Saccharomyces cerevisiae S288C: one gene and its partners. Changing the gene in region 4 together with the main gene of any one other region gives a genetic interaction. Each region holds a gene or a part of one and is shown on either strand. Other genes may lie near its edges.

The links.
Region 1: mutations in UBC6 (region 4) and PEF1 together harm fitness more than expected from each alone (negative genetic interaction), as found in Saccharomyces cerevisiae (2 studies listed by BioGRID).
Region 2: mutations in UBC6 (region 4) and MCT1 together harm fitness more than expected from each alone (negative genetic interaction), as found in Saccharomyces cerevisiae (2 studies listed by BioGRID).
Region 3: mutations in UBC6 (region 4) and YCL002C together harm fitness more than expected from each alone (negative genetic interaction), as found in Saccharomyces cerevisiae (2 studies listed by BioGRID).

Annotation. Positions count from the first base shown.
Region 1 is NC_001139.9:604,244-607,643, forward strand, and holds PEF1 (Pef1p), read left to right. Parts: upstream 1-1,892; coding exon 1,893-2,900; downstream 2,901-3,400. Other genes in the region: RSC subunit protein RSC1, read left to right, coding at 1-204; LST7 (Lst7p), read right to left, coding at 530-1,258; septin SPR3, read left to right, coding at 3,320-3,400. UniProt on the Saccharomyces cerevisiae protein: Calcium-binding protein that is required for polar bud growth and cell wall abscission. Can also bind zinc ions.
Region 2 is NC_001147.6:755,976-759,097, forward strand, and holds MCT1 ([acyl-carrier-protein] S-malonyltransferase), read right to left. Parts: upstream 1,584-3,122; coding exon 501-1,583; downstream 1-500. Other genes in the region: RCN2 (Rcn2p), read left to right, coding at 1-150; ODC2 (mitochondrial 2-oxodicarboxylate carrier), read left to right, coding at 2,355-3,122. UniProt on the Saccharomyces cerevisiae protein: Involved in biosynthesis of fatty acids in mitochondria.
Region 3 is NC_001135.5:110,308-113,250, forward strand, and holds YCL002C (uncharacterized protein), read right to left. Parts: upstream 1,369-2,943; coding exon 1,327-1,368; intron 1,251-1,326; coding exon 501-1,250; downstream 1-500. Other genes in the region: PGS1 (CDP-diacylglycerol--glycerol-3-phosphate 3-phosphatidyltransferase), read left to right, coding at 1-363; RER1 (protein retrieval receptor), read left to right, coding at 1,609-2,175; YCL001W-A (uncharacterized protein), read left to right, coding at 2,773-2,943.
Region 4 is NC_001137.3:357,768-360,814, reverse strand, and holds UBC6 (E2 ubiquitin-conjugating protein UBC6), read right to left. Parts: upstream 1,254-3,047; coding exon 501-1,253; downstream 1-500. Other genes in the region: AST2 (Ast2p), read left to right, coding at 1-313; ribose phosphate diphosphokinase subunit PRS2, read left to right, coding at 1,754-2,710. UniProt on the Saccharomyces cerevisiae protein: Catalyzes the covalent attachment of ubiquitin to other proteins. Functions in degradation of misfolded or regulated proteins localized in the endoplasmic reticulum (ER) lumen or membrane via the ubiquitin-proteasome system.

The DNA of each region.
Region 1 (3,400 bases), on a different chromosome or scaffold from region 4:
TCTTCTAATTTCATGGATTTAAGCACAATTGCAAGCGGTGATAACGATGGGAAAGAATGCGATACGGCGGAGGAGAGTGAAGACGAAAACGAAGATACAGAAGACGAGCACGAAATTGAAGATATCCCGACCACGTCTGCTTTTGGCTTAAATTCTTCCGCTGAATACCTTGCATTCAGATTACGAGAATTTAATAAATTATGACCATGATAAATTCACCACATGTATCTATATATGTTCATGCATATACCATATATATTTTGTTATTCATACGATAGACCTCAATCGTTTTGTTGCCTTTCAAAACGCACAATTGTAAACCTAGCTTACTATTTATCTATCGCGGTCCAGAATGGCTTTCCTTTTTAAATTCATCCCAGAAGCCACGTCGGAGTAAAGTATTCGGCCTTGATGACTATTTCGAATCGAAATGAAAGAATAAAAGGAACTAGGAGGTTGTTCCAACAATTTTCCATGCCGTAATTTCATCGGTTATTAGGTTACCAGCATTTATCTCAGTTTATTTGAGTCAAGGTAATTTATTTTCATTCATTACTGTATGGAGTAAAAATGAATTCCATTTATGTATTCGCACGAAGAGAAATTTATCATCCGTCAGAGACACCAAATTACGGCCGAATTTAGATTTGTTTGCACGTAAATATGAGCCAATGAAAGCGTTATTATTCAATGTTTCCAAATTGTTTTCCACCGTTTTATTTTTCCCCAAGAATTCGCTTTTATGAATGTTTTTAATATATGCAATCATTTTATCAAATCCACCGATGATAAAGTTCCAGTGTTCACTCAACATTTTCATAGAATCGTCATGGCTTCTGGAATCGACTGTTAAAATAAAACAATATCTTCTTTCATTGCCTCTAGCATTTTCATCATACAGTTTAAAGCCTATAACTAAGTTCAATCCTCTAAGATCATCAAAAAATATAAAAGGCATATTATCATAAATCATTGTTTCTTCAGAAAAGGCTCTTTTAATAATAGAATTTAGCAATTGGTATCTTATAGAAGAATATTGGGTAGTTATAAACGGAACATCTTCGATGAAGCACCGCATCGATCTAGTTGACTCTTCAGGAAACTGTAAAAGACATGATTCGCAATATGATTCAGTTGGATAATCAGGCACTAGTAATTCTTCACCTAGCGTTCCCTTTTCTGCGGATTGTGTAACTGATATGATCCTTGGGCCATGCTTGTCGCAGAAATGAGCCAATGAAATCACTGTCGAGGACATTCTATGCATCTATTTCATCAACCATTTAAACGCTAACTTATTTTATGGAGGTGCTAGTTAGTTGGACTTTATTGCTTCATTTATCGTTTGATGGTCATCGAATAGAAGATTCCTAAGCCCTTTTCTTTTTACTCAAGATTTTCTTTTTCAAGCGTGTTTTTTCTGGCAAGTACGAAAACGGCATCTTCGAACTTGGCGAATGAACAATCGGTTTGGTTCAACATTTCCAAGAACAACTACAACATACTATCAGTGTTACTTTCAAAAGTCTTTTAATACATTTGAAATGATATTCAGTGGAAGTGGAATGAAATAGGCCACAGTGAATAGGCCACGATACACACAGCATGTGTCATGCTCAATACCTTGCACCTGAATCTATATAATCTTGTAGTTCACCATTATATACATAACTCAGAAGAAGAAAACAATACGCATATTGGATAGTGCTCCATCGCTTTTAACAACTGATAATTTCAGTCATCTGGCTCAGGGTCTTGTCGATTTTTTTTATTTAGAAACTATCCGAATAAAAAAACCGCAGGAATACAAAGCGATGGGAATTGCTATTTCACTGAACATGTATGTATACCGTATACCGCATAAAATAACTATAAACCTACACCATTAAACGATGTGTGCAAAGAAGCTCAAATACGCTGCTGGCGATGACTTTGTACGCTATGCTACACCTAAAGAGGCCATGGAGGAAACTAGACGTGAATTCGAGAAAGAGAAACAACGACAGCAACAAATAAAGGTTACTCAAGCACAAACTCCCAACACTAGAGTCCACTCAGCTCCAATTCCCTTACAAACTCAATATAACAAAAACAGAGCAGAAAACGGTCACCACTCCTATGGTTCTCCCCAAAGTTATTCTCCAAGACATACGAAAACACCTGTGGATCCTAGATATAATGTTATCGCACAGAAACCAGCAGGCAGGCCTATACCTCCAGCGCCAACCCATTATAACAACTTGAACACTTCCGCTCAACGGATAGCTTCCTCTCCTCCTCCCCTAATTCACAATCAAGCAGTGCCTGCACAACTCTTGAAGAAAGTTGCACCTGCTTCGTTCGATAGCAGAGAAGATGTACGAGACATGCAAGTGGCCACACAGCTATTTCATAACCATGATGTAAAGGGCAAAAACCGACTGACAGCTGAGGAACTACAGAACTTACTACAAAACGACGACAACTCCCATTTTTGTATATCATCAGTAGATGCGCTGATAAATTTATTTGGTGCTTCCAGGTTTGGCACTGTCAACCAGGCAGAATTCATCGCCCTATACAAAAGAGTGAAAAGTTGGAGAAAAGTTTATGTGGACAATGATATCAACGGATCGCTCACCATTTCTGTAAGCGAATTTCATAACTCACTTCAAGAACTAGGATATCTAATACCTTTTGAAGTTAGCGAGAAAACATTTGACCAATATGCTGAGTTTATAAACAGAAATGGAACAGGAAAAGAACTAAAGTTTGATAAATTCGTTGAGGCGTTAGTTTGGCTAATGAGATTAACAAAATTATTCAGGAAATTCGATACTAATCAAGAAGGCATTGCAACCATACAGTACAAAGATTTTATCGATGCTACATTATATTTAGGTCGTTTCCTACCTCATTGATGAAAACCATTCGTTCTTTCTGGTCGTAATACAAATAGAAGAGGTAAACCAATCAATGGCCCGTTAGTTTGCCATTTGCTGCATCCTTCCCATGCAAAGTGTCTTCGTATTTAGTGATGTTTTGTTAGCGACACAAAAGAGACCTCGATGACAGACATTTTTTTTTCTTTACTTAATGTATTATAAGTGTGTCTGACCTCGACTATCATTATAATATTAATTTGAAGTTCTATTTTACATTTATATGAGTTATTCCATTACATAATAAGGATATCAAGAGCAGATTAGTGTCTTTTAGATTATACATCTTTTTCCCCCCTTTTTTGTTGTTGGTAGTGGAAAGAAAAGGATCAATTAACAGAAATAAATAAATAAATAATAAAAACCTAAAATTCCTTTTGCGTCATTGAATTTTTATTATGAAGTCAAAAGGGAGTCGGTTGTCAACAGACTGTCCTGTCGAATTTCCCAAGATAGTCTCTGGATTCGCTGAGGAAGTG
Region 2 (3,122 bases), on a different chromosome or scaffold from region 4:
AAATGCCTTTTCGCCTCTAAGCCACTAGGATTGACCATTGATACTTCTACTAGAAGTAATGCTGCATCGTGTACCGAAAATGATGTAAACGCTACTGCCTCAAATCCTCCAAAAAGTCCAAGCATAACGGTTAACGAGTTTTTCCATTAGAGCACTAGAGCATAACTAATACTATAAATTAGACAAAGCAGAAAAAGGGAAAAAGGTTCATGCTATGATAATGTAAAGAATATGCGTAGAGATATCTATATATCCATTTATACGTTTATATACTTGCGTGTTTACTTTGTATGGCATAATAACATGTATGTTTGCATTAGGGATTTGTTTTAGTGTATCCAAGAGCGATTAGTATAGAAGGAATGTATGTATGTGTATACGATATTTATATAAAGGGAAGTTGGCTAATTTTTTGCACACTTTCGTCCTCTTTCCATTTTCAATGAATGCGTAGAAGCACAGACTGGGAGTGGAGAGAGTTCGCAGTTTTGATCTCTTTCTCAATCTTTGTTCTCCTCTGCCGCCTTGTGATAAGCGTCTATAGTTGCTAAAGAGGTGTATTCTATAGTGTCCACTTGGGGACAATTTCTCCGAATAAGGTTATAAATCACATTGCCCGGGCCAAAGCAAATACTCTTATCAATTTCCACTGGGGTTCCAGAGTTTATGGTATCATAACACATGGTGAATTGCACAGTCCTGCTTGAACACTTAACGAATCTATCTAGGGCATGATGAATATAGTAAGATATATTACCATCTAAGTTAGCTATTATTGGATGGTTCAACTCCATCAACGTGTGAGTTCCGTTTTTCTTTAATATATCCCAAATGTAGTCATAGAGTGGTTCCTGAACGGGCCTCAACACAGTGCTATTATGGAAGGGGATGTTGTATGGGTTAGTTAATTCTGTAATTCTTAAACGCGGGAACCTTAAGTTCAATTCTGTTCTTAAGGACTCTAAATCATCAACCAGACCGGTGACTACACATTGCTTTACTGAATTTGCATTTGCTACAGAAATGGTATTTTGTGAAGATGATAATAAATTAGGGGAATTTAGTAGTTTTTGCACTTCTTGCGGTAAATCTGTGGCCCTCGGAGAAGAGAGTGCCCACATTTCAAATTTGTTGGATCTGTTGATATTGTGGGCTACTAAGTACTTTTCAGTAGATGTTACCATTAACTTATTTCTAAAATTAGCAATATCAAAAAGATCCTTTAACGAAAACAGTGAATTAACACTCAGACATGTTAACTCGCCTAGCGAGTGACCCAAAAGGTAACATTGTTCATTGTCTTTCTTGTCGGGGGAATCGATCTTAGTCATATTTTTTGGTGCTTGATCTTGAGGATCAGAAGGATTCGAGAGTATCTGGTACAATTGATAGAAAAGGTTGGAGCAGACTGCAATGCTTCCGGGGCTGGAAGGGTTCTGGAAGATGTACTGCAATAGATCATTTGATTCCTTGCCGTTCTGACTCAGTATTGTTTGGAATTCTCTTGATTTGTTTCTTATTATCGCTTTTAATATCGAAATGGAGATGGAGGTCCCTTGACCTGGGAAGGTTAGTAGCTTCATACAAACGCTTATATATGTGTACCACGATCAGAAAAGTGCAAAACGCTTTGTTACTACCCTCAGTGTACGTTATTGAATAGTTCTAATATGCAGCAAGTTACTGGTAAGCTTTGTTTTACCCTTGAGTTCGATACTCAGTTTACTTCCTCCATCGGAGGTTGAAATGCGCCTTGTCATACGGCCAAAAAATGCCATGTAAGAAGATGACACTTTCTGCATTTTGAGTATATTTAAGGGCCTATAATTTTCTTCCAACTTTCTCAAGACAAGCATATTGTGTACTTTCGGTTTAGCAAGCCTTTTTACTTCGTTAACACAAGGCGATGCTAACGTGTGTTTACTGTTTTAGAAGATCGGCATTTATCAAATGTAAGGACAATGAGACATGGTTGACCAATTAGTTCTTCTCAGATAGGAGTTCTAGTTCTTCTGCATACTACTTAGTCCTCTTCTGTCGTTGACATTCAATTGCTTGTGCATTTCTAACATGAAATAGTGGTACTACGAATGCTATTATTCTATGCCAGGCAAATTCCTCTGGAACTTTTTTTTTTTCAGTTTTTTCGTGGTGAGCTTTTTTTGCCTGTCTATCTCGAAAGATCTTGTTGTTGATGACTCAGTGCAGTCGCGATCACTTTCGACTCGACATGCATTTGCAAGTAATTCTGTTATAAAACGTTCTCTTCGTTTTTTCAGTCTGAAGCTCTTCTGCACTTTTTTACTGGGTTAGATTCTATATAGTCAAGTAATTCGAGGTAGCATCAAAGTAATATGTCATCAGACTCAAACGCAAAGCCATTGCCTTTTATATATCAGTTCATATCAGGTGCCGTCGCCGGTATTTCTGAGTTAACTGTTATGTATCCGCTTGATGTTGTTAAGACAAGATTTCAACTGGAGGTGACGACGCCTACTGCCGCTGCAGTAGGAAAGCAAGTAGAGAGATATAATGGTGTCATCGATTGTTTGAAAAAAATTGTAAAGAAGGAAGGGTTTAGCAGACTTTACAGAGGTATTAGTTCACCAATGTTGATGGAAGCACCAAAGAGAGCCACCAAATTTGCATGTAACGATCAATATCAAAAAATCTTCAAAAACCTATTCAACACGAATGAAACTACGCAGAAGATCTCCATTGCGGCTGGTGCATCTGCTGGTATGACAGAAGCTGCAGTTATTGTTCCATTTGAATTGATCAAAATCAGGATGCAAGACGTCAAGTCCAGCTATCTTGGACCAATGGACTGTTTGAAAAAAACAATCAAAAACGAAGGTATTATGGGGCTATACAAGGGTATCGAATCTACCATGTGGAGAAACGCTCTTTGGAATGGTGGCTACTTCGGTGTTATCTACCAAGTGAGAAATTCCATGCCCGTAGCAAAGACAAAGGGACAAAAGACCAGAAATGACCTTATTGCAGGTGCGATCGGTGGTACGGTCGGGACCATGCTTAACACTCCCTTTGACGTGGTGAAATCCAGAATCCAAAGTGTGGACGCGGTCAGCAGTGCTGTTAAAAAATACAACTGGTGCCTA
Region 3 (2,943 bases), on a different chromosome or scaffold from region 4:
GATCATGCTATTACATTAAGAGAATGGCAAAGAGGCGTAGTAAATAAGCCGAATGGTTGGTCATATCACGCAAAAGGTATTTGGCTTTCCGCTCGTGATAAAAATGATGCTAACAATTGGAAACCCTTTATCACGGTTATAGGATCTTCAAACTATACGAGAAGGGCGTATTCATTAGATTTGGAATCGAATGCTCTCATTATTACAAGAGATGAAGAGCTAAGAAAAAAAATGAAAGCAGAGTTAGATAATTTATTACAATATACAAAACCTGTAACTCTAGAAGACTTTCAATCAGACCCAGAAAGACATGTTGGCACTGGTGTAAAGATAGCTACCTCCATTTTGGGTAAAAAACTTTAGATTCTATTCTATCATAGTATGTCGCCTGTAAATATGGAAAAATAAAAGAAAAAATAGTAATAATAAATGCATTATCTAAAACTCCTTAAATTTGCAAACATCGCAAAGCCATTAAGGTAGAGAATGAGCTGACCTTGTTATAGTTTTCCTTTTGGCAACCGTGGTTTCCGTCCTACGTAAACATACTGAACTTGACAAAGTATGACCAATAAGGTGACAAATTGTATCAATTTTACCCAAAAGGGCGTTGAATTAAATGGTATCTCGTAAAACAATGCATTGGTCGGTATTACCAGTCTACCTAATAAATCGATAGATTCAGCCAAAAATGATATCAATGCAAACTTTGATGATAAACCTACTGTTGAGCATCCCATCCAGTTTATACTCATTTGAGGCACATACTTGAAACATTTAAGCAGATTTGCCATTACCCACAAATAATTTATGTGTTCCAAATAGAAAACGCCAAATTTACCTGAATTTTTCAACGGTAAATTAGAGATGGAACAGCCATATGTAAATATGCCTAATACAAGGAACACACTTATAATTATTATGGAAGTAATGGAAATGCCCTGATAAATATGTTTAGTTGACCTATAATAGTATAACTGCCTTAAAACCATCATGCAGCAACAGGAAACGCAAAAATCTTTTAGAATGAGGAAACTGGATATAGGTATACTACGGGCATCATTCAACGGATAAAAAAGTGGGAATCTTTGAGACAGTTGTTCCCTCACCAGAGATGAATAACAATAATGCAACGCGCAATACAAGTACAGACCATTACCAACAAAATCTAGCAGAAATAAATCATATGAAAGCCCGTAAATAGATCGATGAAGTTTATTATAGCGCTTTTGACATAGAATGGCGATGATCTATGTAAGAAATGGAAGTTTTCTCCCTTAGTTAGTCAAACCTTTCATGTATACTTTCTCCTTCAATTATGCATACTGATAAAAAACCTGCCAAGCCCTGCAGAACAATAACAAGCATGTGAATGATTCAATATAATTGCTTCGCAGGGCTCCTCAACCTCTCCTCTGGAAAACCTTACCTCAATGAGGTTAAAAATTGTGGGTTTTTCGTTCGCAGAGGAAAAAAAAACTTGTCAAAACACGCCTCTGCAGTAGAACACGAATTATACATAAGAAAAATAACGATACAAGAAAGGCGATTTCGATTTGGGACTAAGTGTTACACGAAAGGCATAGAGTATCAAAAAAAGGAAGCAAGATGGATTACGATAGCTCTGATACAATGAACGGTGGTTCAAGTAACCCCTTAATCACTAAGATGAATACAATGAAATTATTATATCAACACTATTTGGATAAAGTCACTCCTCACGCTAAGGAGAGGTGGGCTGTATTGGGTGGTTTGTTATGTTTGTTTATGGTTCGTATTACAATGGCCGAAGGCTGGTATGTGATTTGTTATGGTCTAGGTCTATTTTTATTGAATCAATTTTTAGCCTTTTTGACCCCAAAATTCGATATGTCCTTACAGCAAGATGAAGAAAACAACGAATTGGAAGCTGGAGAAAAATCAGAAGAATTCCGTCCATTCATCAGAAGATTACCAGAGTTCAAATTCTGGTATAACAGCATTAGAGCCACTGTCATTTCCCTCTTGTTGTCGCTATTTTCAATCTTCGATATTCCAGTATTTTGGCCCATCTTATTGATGTATTTCATATTATTGTTTTTTTTAACTATGAGAAGGCAGATTCAACATATGATAAAATATAGATATATACCCTTAGATATCGGTAAGAAGAAATATTCTCATTCTTCTAACTGATATACCCTGACTCCACATACCTATTCAACGAACACATTCGTATCTTAATTATATGTAAACAAAATTATATGATAGTTACAGAATAATTGTGATTATTTTCTCCTTCTACTCATCTTCTCTTATATTGGAAGAATACATGAAGTTATTGATTAAGCAAAATTGAAGGGAAGAGGCTCATTTTCTTCCATTTATAAATGGAGAGCTTGAGATGCCTCCAATTGATAAATTTTTGTAAAGACTTTCAAGAAACATGTCTAAAAAGAATTGACAGCTTCGAACCTTTCTGCATAATTACTAATACCAAATTAGTGAGAAATGGGGTATGTCGAGGAATAAAGGATGCAAAAGAGAGAGTAATGTCATGCAAGTTGTGAGTTTGAAATGTTCACACGTTTATAATGTCCATACTCCGTGGCGTGCATGTGTTTTAGTGTATTAGTTTTCCAAGTTATTAAAGAACTTAGTAAATTTATCATCGAACGCATTTTGATTAAGTGGCACAATAGACTTCAATGGAAAATGAAAATCATATCTGTAGCAAAAACGACAGCGAAGATAACGGTTACACAATTATCACGTTGATTCGTCAACTTAAAGATGACCTTTTTACAATTTATCAATAATAATAGACAAGAAGGACAAGGTTATATTTCAGAAAAATTATTCAAAACTAAGAAGAATGAGATGATAAGAAAAACAGTTACCAATTTAGTAGCTGTAAGATTAAAAAACTTATCCCACGAATTTGATGTAATAGAGAATTATCTG
Region 4 (3,047 bases):
AGTTGGTGATTATGTTGGAAATTATAAGAAAGACGTCTTTGATTCTTGGGATAACCCTAGCGCCAATGCAAGAAAAATGTTTGGATCAATGTTATGGTCATACGATTATTCTCATTTTTACTTTGACCCCAATATCAAGATTATCCCCAAGAAGAATGATTGGATACATGAATGCGGCAAGCTGCTAAATGAGGGAGTCGTAGATTGCGTTGTTGATAAGGTTTATTCCTGGAAAAATTTCAAGGAAGCATTTTCCTATATGGCTACACAACGTGCTCAAGGTAAGCTTATAATGAAAGTTGAAGGTTTTTGAAATGGGAGTTTCTGTCTCCCTAGGTTTCACCTCATTTTTATTGAGGTTTCTTGGTCAATACATACTCAAAAATATAATTAATAATTCACAATGTTCATAATAAAAAGATCCGTTTTGTCTATATAATACTATTGATTTCTATTCTGTGTTGTCAAAATTTATCTAAAGTTTAGTTCATTTAATGGCTTCATTTCATAAAAAGGCCAACCAAAAACAAAAAAATAGCGATACCAATATAAACCATTGAAGAACTATCATTAGGTTCTTTGCCATCTTTCTTGGAATTATTTTCTGATTGTCTCAACGCTTGTTCAGCGCGTATTCTGTCTTCAGGGTCTAGAATTTCCTCCAACGAGATGACTTTTTCCTTCGCAGCCTTTGTAAAAGGGTCTTCTGTTTCATCACCTGTATTTGCCGCATCCCCCTCATCCAATTTTCTCTTTTCTAATGTCTCTACATTTTCCTGTACAACTTCCGGAAAAATCAATTTGAATCTAACATTTTGAAAAGTGTTATAACTTATGGAATTTCTTGCTAATGTCTTCTTCTGATGGTCTGATGTTGTAATTGATCCTGTCGTGGCTTCATCACTGGTCATGAAACTTAGTAACCCGTTCAAAATGGTTGAGACAGACCAGCCAGGATTCCAAGTATCAGGGTGGTAATCACTCATAGAAAGGCATAATCGTGTGTTGGGCTTGAAACGTCCATTCGGTGTTATCATTCTGATAGCCGGTGGTTTGTATGGATAATCAGACGGGAAAGTTAAAGTACCGTGATATTGACCGCCCTTGTAAGGAGTATCCGCAGGTCCTGTGATAATATAGTGCCACTCTAAAATATTATCTTCGTTGGGGCGAGCAAGAATATATGGTGGAGGGTTTTCCACCATCAACTTGTACTCTTTCGTCAATCTCTTGTGAGCCTGCTTTGTAGCCATTACTATTGTACGTACTTTGTTTGCAATTTGCGAATGCGGTTTTAGTTAATATTTAAAGTCTTTTCTGCGATATGCGATGGTAGTCTTCTTTATCACGGCTCCTAAAGTGTGATAATCGGAAAGTTCCTTTCTGTTCTCTGCAATCGATTTCGGCTTTTTCTGAACACAAATAACCAAAATTTCCTTATTTTATTGGGGAGGCTATCCTAATTGTAAAGTGCAATATTGCTGTGGAAGGATATCGACTCAAGCGACCAGTGGAATAGGATGGCGAGTTGGCTAGTTTAGCTCTCTCCGACATTGTTGCTATTGAACAGATACGGTATGCCCGTGTATTTATCCTCCTACCAAATCGCGCAGCAAAATGGTTAAGCACGTGACTATTTTTCAACAATGAAAAAATTTTGAACAATAGATGATATGAGGAGGCATCGAGGGATTGCTAAGAAGAGGATATTCCTCATCATCCAAAGACTATCTTGTCGTAAGTTTCGTTGAATATGTCTACAAACAGTATTAAGTTGTTAGCTGGTAACTCACATCCTGGGCTTGCTGAGCTTATTTCCCAAAGGCTTGGTGTACCGTTATCTAAAGTGGGGGTATATCAGTATTCAAATAAAGAGACGTCTGTTACAATAGGGGAAAGCATTCGTGATGAAGACGTATATATCATCCAAACTGGTTACGGGGAACATGAAATCAACGATTTCTTAATGGAATTACTTATCTTAATTCACGCTTGTAAGACGGCATCAGTCAGAAGAATTACGGCAGTAATACCAAATTTCCCTTATGCTAGACAAGATAAGAAGGATAAATCGCGGGCGCCCATCACTGCGAAGCTGATTGCCAATCTTTTGGAAACTGCGGGTTGTGATCATGTTATTACTATGGATCTCCATGCTTCACAAATTCAAGGGTTTTTTCATATCCCGGTTGATAATTTATACGGTGAACCAAGTGTGTTGAATTACATAAGGACCAAAACAGATTTCAATAATGCGATACTGGTATCGCCTGATGCTGGTGGTGCGAAAAGGGTGGCTTCTTTAGCGGACAAGCTGGATATGAATTTTGCCTTGATTCATAAGGAGAGGCAAAAAGCTAATGAAGTTTCGCGAATGCTGCTTGTCGGTGATGTTGCTGGTAAGTCATGCTTGTTGATTGACGATATGGCTGACACGTGTGGTACGCTGGTGAAAGCCTGTGACACATTAATGGATCACGGTGCTAAGGAGGTTATCGCTATTGTCACACATGGTATATTTTCTGGCTCAGCTAGGGAGAAGTTAATAAATAGTAGGTTATCAAGAATTGTTTGCACCAACACGGTACCTGTTGATTTGGATTTGGACATTGTCGATCAGGTGGATATCAGCCCTACGATTGCAGAAGCTATCAGAAGATTGCATAATGGAGAATCAGTCTCATATTTATTTACACATGCGCCTGTTTAAAGAAGAGGTATAAACGAATATATTTGTATAAATGTACTAACAGATATTTTGAAAAAAAATGCGTATATCTATTCAGTATTAGCGCTTATGCTGCCACCAATATTCTTCATCTGGTCTCTATGAGATTTTCATTAAAGCTTAATCTTTTCTGATTTACCGCCCTTGCTTTTGGAAAATATGTGAAATTTTATTGTGCTCTAAAAAAAAAAAGTTATTACAGTAGGTGAAGTGAAATACAACTAAATTCGAAAGATCAGGAACAATAGAAAGAAACGTGGAAATTATTTAAAAAAGGAAGAAAAAATGGTACACTAATATTGATACTTTTAGAACAGAT